Linked DNA regions of Macaca mulatta. The protein of the gene in region 2 interacts with the protein of the main gene of each other region in a biochemical or structural test. Links are inferred from orthologs where the notes say so. Each region holds a gene or a part of one and is shown on either strand. Other genes may lie near its edges.

Region 1 (3,807 bases), on a different chromosome or scaffold from region 2:
CCCTGGGACTGACAGCAGCATCCACATTTTTCAGACTTGCAGATTTGTCCACTGCTAACCTGGAGTTTCGAGATCTTCCTCTCTTTGATTTGGAGTTTTTTTCAGGGGCCGGTTTTTTCTCTACAACTTCAACAGGGGCGGCTTCAGGGAGATTTTTGTCTGTGCCAGCATCTTTTCTGTCACATTTCTGTTCGCTCCCTGCCTCTTCCTCAGCAGCCTTGGGTTCCGTGGGGCTCTCTTTCACACTTATTTGGGGGCCCACCTCAGTGGTGGCCTCAGGACGTGCAGCATCCACCTTCAGTTCATTTCTTCCCTTTTTCCCTTGGGGGCCACCACCAGCTGCAGTTTTCTGGGACCGTGGGGACCGCCATCCCTCAGGTGGCTTGAGTGTTTCTGCAGGTTCCTTGGTCTCGTTCTCCTCCTCTTCATCGGCTCGCCGGCGTGTCTTTGGAGGCCTTCCCCTCCGAGGGGTGGTGGGAACCGCCGCGGCCTCCTGAAGCTCTCGCTCCAATCTCTTTCTGGTCACTCTTGGTTGCTCAATGGGCTCTTTGACAGGAGAGCGGTTTTCATGGTCACCCATGGTTGCATAGACGCTCCTTACATTACGGCGCCTTGTTCGGCTAAGAGGCAAACTTGGTTCGGGATGTTCAAGGTCTGCAGCAGAGTTTTTAGAAGCAGTCCTTGTAATCTTCTCTGCCTCCATCTTCAATTCCAAAAGCTTCTGTGCTTCTACCCGAGGAGAATTGGACCGCTTGAGTTTTTCCCGGTCTATCCTCTCACTCTTCCTTGTGACGGGCTTCTCCACGATACTTACTGCAGGTGCCTGAACAGGGGTCTTTGAACGCTTGCTTTTGTTTGGCTTTTTATCCTTTGTAGCAACTGGAGGATCAACCTCTAAATCTTCAGAAGCTGGGGGCTGAGCCTCAGGAACAGCTTCAGCTTTCTGGTTTGCATCAGGCTCAGCATCTGCAGTGGTGTCTGGCTTTTCAGCCTTTGGCTCACTGGCCTCCTCAGACTTCTGAGCTGGTTTTGAAAGTGGCTGGGTACTGTCAGGCTCTGGATCTACATTGCTCTCTGCCTGGGAAAACGAGGCCCCGGGAGTTGGAGGCTTGGCATCCAGATAAGGCAGCTGGTCACCTAATGAACCTTCCTCAACACCTGCCGGAATCACAGCAGCTTCTTTATTGGGGTCTGCTCCTGGGGGCAGGTCCACTTGTTCCGGCTGTTCCACAGGGGCAGGAGCAGGTTCAGACACAGGCTTTGCTTCTTCTGAGACAGTGGCTGGCTCCACAGTCTTATCTTCTGTTACCAAAGGCGCCTCTACCATTTTGTCACCAGCGGTCTTCTCTAGTGCTGATGGGGCTGACTCTAGAGTTGCGACTGTGACACTTGGAGGCCCAACGGAAGGTGGAGTTTTTAGTTCTGCATCTTTATTCTCAGGAGCAGATTCTGGGGTCTTGGGATGATTCTCTATATCTTCCTGTTTCTCAACCTCTTTGGGTTTCTGGTCTTTTTCTTTTTCTTTCTGTTGCATTCGTGTGAGCTCCATAAATCTGCTATGGAACAGAACTACTGGTTCTTGAATGGAATCAGTTGTGCTGTTTGCTCCCTCAGATGTCTGCTTACCATAGATCCTACCAGAAATGAAGTCAGAGTCTTCCTCTTTTCTCTCTAGATGCTGCAATCGCTTGGAATCTTGTTCAAAGATTGAGCTGTGTAAAAAACGAGAAGCAAACAATTCCTGCCTCTCTTGCTCTTCTTCTTTATGGTCCTCTTTCTTATCATCCATTTTCCCTTCTGAATCAGTCCTAATTTTCTTCTTTTTCATGTACCAGGATGGAATAGGTCTTGGAGCAGAGTCAACCTTTTCTTTATCTTTGTTGTTTCGAAAATTTGCAAATCGGGAGTCCCAATCAAGAAAAGACCAATTTTCTTCACGAGATGAAGAGAGGGATTTAGCTCTTTCAAGCAAAGCTTTAGTGTCTGGTGTGATTGTCTTATCCAATGCAAAAGAGTAAAATTTGTTCCTTTCTAAAGAACTAGAGAGTCTTTCATCTCGCTCACGTAGCTTGTCTTCTCTGTCCCTCAATAAAAAAGACAATCGAGAACTTTCATATAATGCAGAGGCTCTGGGTGAGTGGGATTTGTGTTCACCATCTTCATCAGAATCAGAAGGCACCTCTCCAGGTTCCAGATCTCGTACAGACCTTTTTCGAAGGCTATCTCTCTTAATTATGCTGTTTGGGAAACTCACATCAAATCTGCTGGCATCTTGTTTCATCTGAGAGTCCCAACGATTTAGTTCATCTTCAGAATTCAAGACAGATAGTTTTATTTTGGCCATATCTGCCATCTGTTCTCTCCTGCTAGAATCATAAGGATTAAATTTTAAAGACTCTTCCCTGACTGTTATGTTAGAATAGGGGAGGACTTTTTCATCTACTTTAGGAGACCCCTTTACTGACATTAGCCTAGGGGAGCCTATGGGATCCTCGTCTTCATGGAAGGAACCATGTCGGACACTGGGAGAACAACCAGTCCTTTCAGAATCTTCGCTGATTTGGCGTGAACTTCTGTAATTCCGTTCTCTCTTGGTGCAGATATCAAAATCAACATGATCCATCCTTTTCTTTTTGCTGGGAGGAGAGTCATCGGTGACATCTTGAGGGGGTTTGCCTACCTCGTGAACGAGGCTACGTCTTTCATATTCATCTACATCTTTTTTAGGACTGCCAAACTTCTCAGACTTGGCTATTTCCATTTCCATCTGCTGTTTCCTACGACTCTGCTCCATTTGTTTTCGGTAACTCTGCGTGTGATCGATGTCAATGCCAATTTTTTCTTCAGTATTTACTGAATGTGATTTCTCTTGGCCTGATTTACGTTCAGGTGTTTCATCACGAAGACTGCAGTAGTTTTTCCTAACGTCTTCTCTCTCTGGTCCTTGATCATCTAATACCTGTAGCTGTTTGAGCTGTGGTTTTGAGGGAATGGGTTTTTTTGATTGGATTTCTTGATTTTCCACAGATTCACCTGTTGGTTCTCCCAGTCTTGCTTGTAGGTCTGAGCTGGGCCTTGAGCCAGACCCAACAGAAATACTGGCAAGCTCCTGACAGTCTTTGGGGCTGGCAACAGTATTAAGTCTGTCCAGTTTGATTTTTTTAGATTCTCTTTTAAGAATTTCTTTCCTCACAGGCTTTCTTTCGGCCTCTCCTTCCCTCAGCAGAATGACCTCTCTAGAGGATACGTCAGGCTGCTTTTTTGAAAGCATGCGAGCATCCTCCATCTCTGGACTGCTTTTCTTGACCTCTGGTTTTTGCTTTTCTGCTTTTAAATTGGAATCTGCAAAGCGCCTTTTCCTTGCTTCCAGCTTTTCCAGATCCACAGCACTTACCCCGTCTGCAGCCTGCTCAGGCTTGAGGTGCTTCCTGGCTTTAAGCCTGCCCTCCTTCTCCACCACTTCAACATGGCTTGAAAGCCCCTTTTCCTTTGGTACTTTCATTCTAACAGATTCCAGTTTAGACAAGTCAGACTTTGCAGGCTCCGTCTGAGAGACCTGAAGTTTCTGGTCCAGGGCTGAAGATTTAATAGTGTCATTATCAAGCTTGGCTTTCAACTTTTCCACAGGAGTGTGGTCAATGACCTTTCCCTCTTTCTCTTTCACTCGAGTCAAAACCACGCAAGGCATGAGATCTAGGCGGTTTTTTGCTATTCCTTCTTTGTCAGCTTTCTCTCTGCTCAGTTTATTAGAACTCCTTGGCTTTTCAGGGCTTTGTTCTCGCTCATTTTCTTGGTCGGTTTCTGAAG
Region 2 (4,272 bases):
GTATTAGGAGGAAGCAAAATGCAAAATAATGTTTTAAAGCCAAGTCCTGGATTTTATTTCTAAAAATGAACAGAAGAATGAGATGTGTAAGAACTTAAAAAACAAAACAATTTTTTCCTAATGCCTTACCCATCAAGGGTGCCAAAGGTTATTTAATGAATTACATCTGGCAAGAATGGCCTTTCAACCAAACCAATTTTGATCTTACCCACTTAAAAAAAAAAATTGACAGAAATCCGTTGGTATAGGACAATAGGTAATTTTTTTAACAAATCTAACTGCTTAAAATCTAAAGCCTACAAGTGTTTTGAACAGTACAGATGTGAAAATACTGCAAGTCTCATTTTCTGAAAATATAATCACAGATCCATCAGCAATATGCATGGATAATAAAACTTAAAGTTTTAATAGTTAATACTCAGAATGAAAGTTCTCCAGCCACAACTCATCCAGATTTCGAAATATGCTGCTGTTATAATTTAATTAAAAGCAGTTTTATTTCACCACAAAGTAAAAGTCTTACACGATTTAGAAAGAAAAACGCAACTCAAATGGTAAAAGCGCTTTTATCATGTCTGTGTAATCATTCTACAGGTACAAGTCAGAGCAAAATACCCTCCATTATTACACAGTATTTACACTTTGCTCCCAGTCAGAAAACCAGTGAGCTTAAGATTTTACCTTCAAAAGAATCATTATGTACAAGAACAAGTAAGGGAGACATAAGATTATTGGTAAAACCCACTCATGCGACCCAGACTGCAGATTTTCACAAAAAAAAACTTAAGTATCAATCATGAAACCATGGTTTTCCATTAATTAAAACTCAAACTACTAATTCTAATCACAGCCAGAAAAAAAAAATACTTTCCAATGCTCCAATACTCGTTAGAGTAGATCTCATATGTCCTCTATAAACAACACTTTACTATTGTAGAACTTCAGTTTGTAAATGAAATGACACTCCAAATGATTTTATGTGTAACATACCTTCTAAAAGTAGAGACCAACTAGTAGAAACAAACTCACTCTTGAAGAATACATTCAGCATAGTAATCCTGGTAAATATAATAACTCTTATTCCTAGCACGAGAATAACTCATTAAAAGACATCACACCACACCCCCCATCCCCATTCACACAACCCCAAGCTTTTAGCATTACCAAAACAGTAAGAACACTTCAAGGGTCCTTTAACACTAGGAAGTGTCTTTAAAATAATCTCACTACAGGCTATTACATATATATAATATACATCTTTACGTATACTTTTTACTGCATTTGATTAATATCTTCCACAAAGATCCTAGAAGCAGTATTCATCAATCAGAAACTGCACTCTTCGGTGCTGTCCTCATTTCAACCCCAGTGATGGGACAGAAGGGTTGTCACGCATCCACAGAGCAGCAAAAACGCACATAACTGTAAACCATCTAATGATTAAGAAAAAGTAAAACATTTATATAAAATTCCCAACCGGAATGCCTCTCCTTTTCCTTATGAGGCAGGAGTTTCTGATAAATTCTAAATCCAGATTTCTAGAAAATGCTGAAATTCTCCGCCCCAACACTCACAAGTTTTCAACATGGAAATTCACTCAACTCCTACTCACATGCCAAATGAATATCCATTGTGGATATCTGAAACTATTCTCAAACACTAACAGAAAAACACATATATACATCTTGAGCCTCCTTCTAACCGTCCTACGATACCCTCCAATCATCCTCAGGCAACCTAAATGCAAAGCTTCGACAGACAGCTGCCCTTGGCCTAGGCCGTCAGGAACCAGGAGGGGGGCGGGGGCCGGGGGCCGGGGGACGCAAGAACCACCAAGAGACCAGACCTTTTTCCAGGGCTACTGTTTCCAAGCAAAACAACCCACCGCACTAAAGAGACGGCGATGAAAATTGGAGACGCTTTAATCCCGAAAGAAAGGGGTGGCGATGGGGGGGCGGGGGGTGCAAGAAATCCCGAGAAAAAGGGGTGCGGAGGAGGAAACTAAGTATCCCATGCATCTTTCAGACTCACAAAACAACAACAAACCGTAGAGTCTGTGTGCACTTAGAAGCAGCAGATGGAGTCTCCGGGGCTGAGACAGTTCAGCAGACGTACACCGGGGGTAGTGGATAAATCAACCGATGACGGGAGAGGAAGGGGGTGCCGAGAGAATAAGCCCATGGATGGGGGAGACAACGCCTCGGGGGGGGGGGATCCAGGACCGCAGAGAAAGGTGAGAGAGGACCCACAGGAGAAAGACAATGGAAGAACAATTAAGACAGGAATCTGGTGCCCGGGCTGTGGCAGGTCACTGGGCTACCGACAAGAGTGGGGCACAACAAAGGGGCACGGGAGGAAGGACAGCGGAGGGGAGGAGATGGAAAGAGGATGCGGGGCGCCACGGGTCGGACAAAGCGCCCAAGGCGGCGAAACAAAGGGCCGGGGGTAGAGAGTCGCGGGGGGCAGCGGGGAAAGACAAAGCGCCCGGGGCCGGGGGCACTAGCGGGGCGAGGCGGCGACAACGGCCGCGAGGAACAAAGCTGCACGGGGCCCCCAGGCAGGGCCCGCTGGAGGCGCGCGGGAGGCACGGCGCCCGAGGGCCCCGCGCGCCCGGCCGCACTCACGCCCGCACCCGCCGGCCTCGCCGCCGCCTCCCGCCCTCACGCGCCGGAGCCCGAGCCACGGCAGCGCAGAGGCAGCGCACGGTCACACGCCGCAGCCGCCGCCGCGCTCGGCGCACGCGACGCCGCCCCCGCGGGCCCCCGGACGCCAAGCGCGCTGCGGCCCCCGAATCCGCCGCTCGCCGCGGGCTGCCAGACGCCCGCAACTTTCCCGGTTCCCAGCGCTCCGATTCCCTCGGACTTACCCTGTCACAACAGGCGCCATCTTCCACAAACTCTCGCCAAAACTCCAACCCTCGCGAGATTCCCCCCGACGCCTTCCCTGGTCCCTCTCCCCCGCCCCTTCCCTTTTTCCTCACTCCTCGATTCCACCCAGCCCCCGCGCTCCCTTTCCCCTCGCCGCCGCCGCGAAGAGCCAGACGCCTCGCGCCGCCCGCAGAGTAGGGGATCCTGCTCGCTGCCTCCCTTGGAAACCTACCCAAGCGATGGAGCATGCGCAGGCGGCTCCTCCGCGGGCGAGCCCTCCGTGTGGTCCATGGGGAGCGCTCCGGTTATCCAGGTTTTGGGACGCGCCTTGAGGGACGTACGTGGAGACTGAGGAAAACCGGAGGGGATTACTACGGGGACGGGGAATGGAGGGGTCAGGAGGCGGGGCCGAGGAGAAGGGAGGAGGGGTCCTGGGAAAATGGGCCGCGTTTCACAGGCCTAGATGAAACACCTCCTCAATGGGTGTTTTCCAAGCGGCTTCCCGCTCACTCTGGGTTCCCAGCTCCTTTCATTCATTCAGACGTTCCCTGGGCGCCTCCTTTATGCTAATTTCGGCGTTAGGTGCAGGAGCGTCAGAGGTGCCTGGGGTTCGGGCAAGTGACACGTCGGGAACTGTCTTCATTCATTACACCCCCATGCTAATGAGGAGGCCCTTCCAGAGCTCCGCAAACGGAAAACTTTTGCAGTTGAGCTCTCTCGGCTTAGCGTTCTCCTTAGGTGTGAAATGAGGTCAAGTCAAGGCCTCTGGGAAAGACACCCCTAATGGCCACCTCGCAGACACACGCCAGGGTGCGGAGTAGTTCTCTCCAGAAGGGAAAACTGCCTTGGAATTGAGAGCCACATTCTCCCACCTCCGAGTCGGGCCAGAGGCCCTGATCAAAGCTCTTGCAGCTCGCGTGCCACATGGCCTCTCTAAGACCCCATCGCAGCCGCCACCGTGTGTGAGCCCAGGTGTGTGTTGAGGCCACTACTGCACAGGGAACCGGGCCACCCGAGGGCCTGGCACAGCCGAAGACGCTGCCGGCTGCCCGAATCGCGCTTCAGGCGGCCTGATGCCGGAAGCCCCCGGGCGAACCTGGCCCCGCCGGGCATTGAACAGCAAGGTGCAGAGCCCGAACCCCGCCCCCTCCTCCTACCTGCAGCCCCCCATTTTTCCCCTCCTTTGCCCTTTCCTTTCCTAGAGATTCCCAATCCAGCACTGCCTCCCGCAGGGAGCCCCAAAACCCGGAGAACTGGAATTCGCCGCCCGAAACCTGCTGAAGGCGCTGCAGGATTGGCGCGGCCCGCGCGAGCGGCACTGCGCATGCACCCAATGCGGGCAGTCGCGTCTCACGCTACACCTCCTTCCCACCGCCTTCCACTACTCGGCTCAGACACAACACGG

Evidence for each region.
Region 1: the proteins of RBPJ (region 2) and SPEN form a complex in vitro, tested with the Homo sapiens proteins (2 studies listed by BioGRID and IntAct). The link is inferred for Macaca mulatta from reciprocal best matches to the Homo sapiens genes RBPJ and SPEN.

Annotation. Positions count from the first base shown.
Region 1 is NC_133406.1:225,091,493-225,095,299, forward strand, and holds part of SPEN (msx2-interacting protein), read right to left. Parts: coding exon 1-3,807. UniProt on the Homo sapiens protein: May serve as a nuclear matrix platform that organizes and integrates transcriptional responses. In osteoblasts, supports transcription activation: synergizes with RUNX2 to enhance FGFR2-mediated activation of the osteocalcin FGF-responsive element (OCFRE).
Region 2 is NC_133410.1:25,359,701-25,363,972, reverse strand, and holds the start of RBPJ (recombining binding protein suppressor of hairless), read right to left. Parts: upstream 3,001-4,272; 5' UTR 2,887-3,000; coding exon of another isoform or gene 2,867-2,886; intron 1-2,866. UniProt on the Homo sapiens protein: Transcriptional regulator that plays a central role in Notch signaling, a signaling pathway involved in cell-cell communication that regulates a broad spectrum of cell-fate determinations.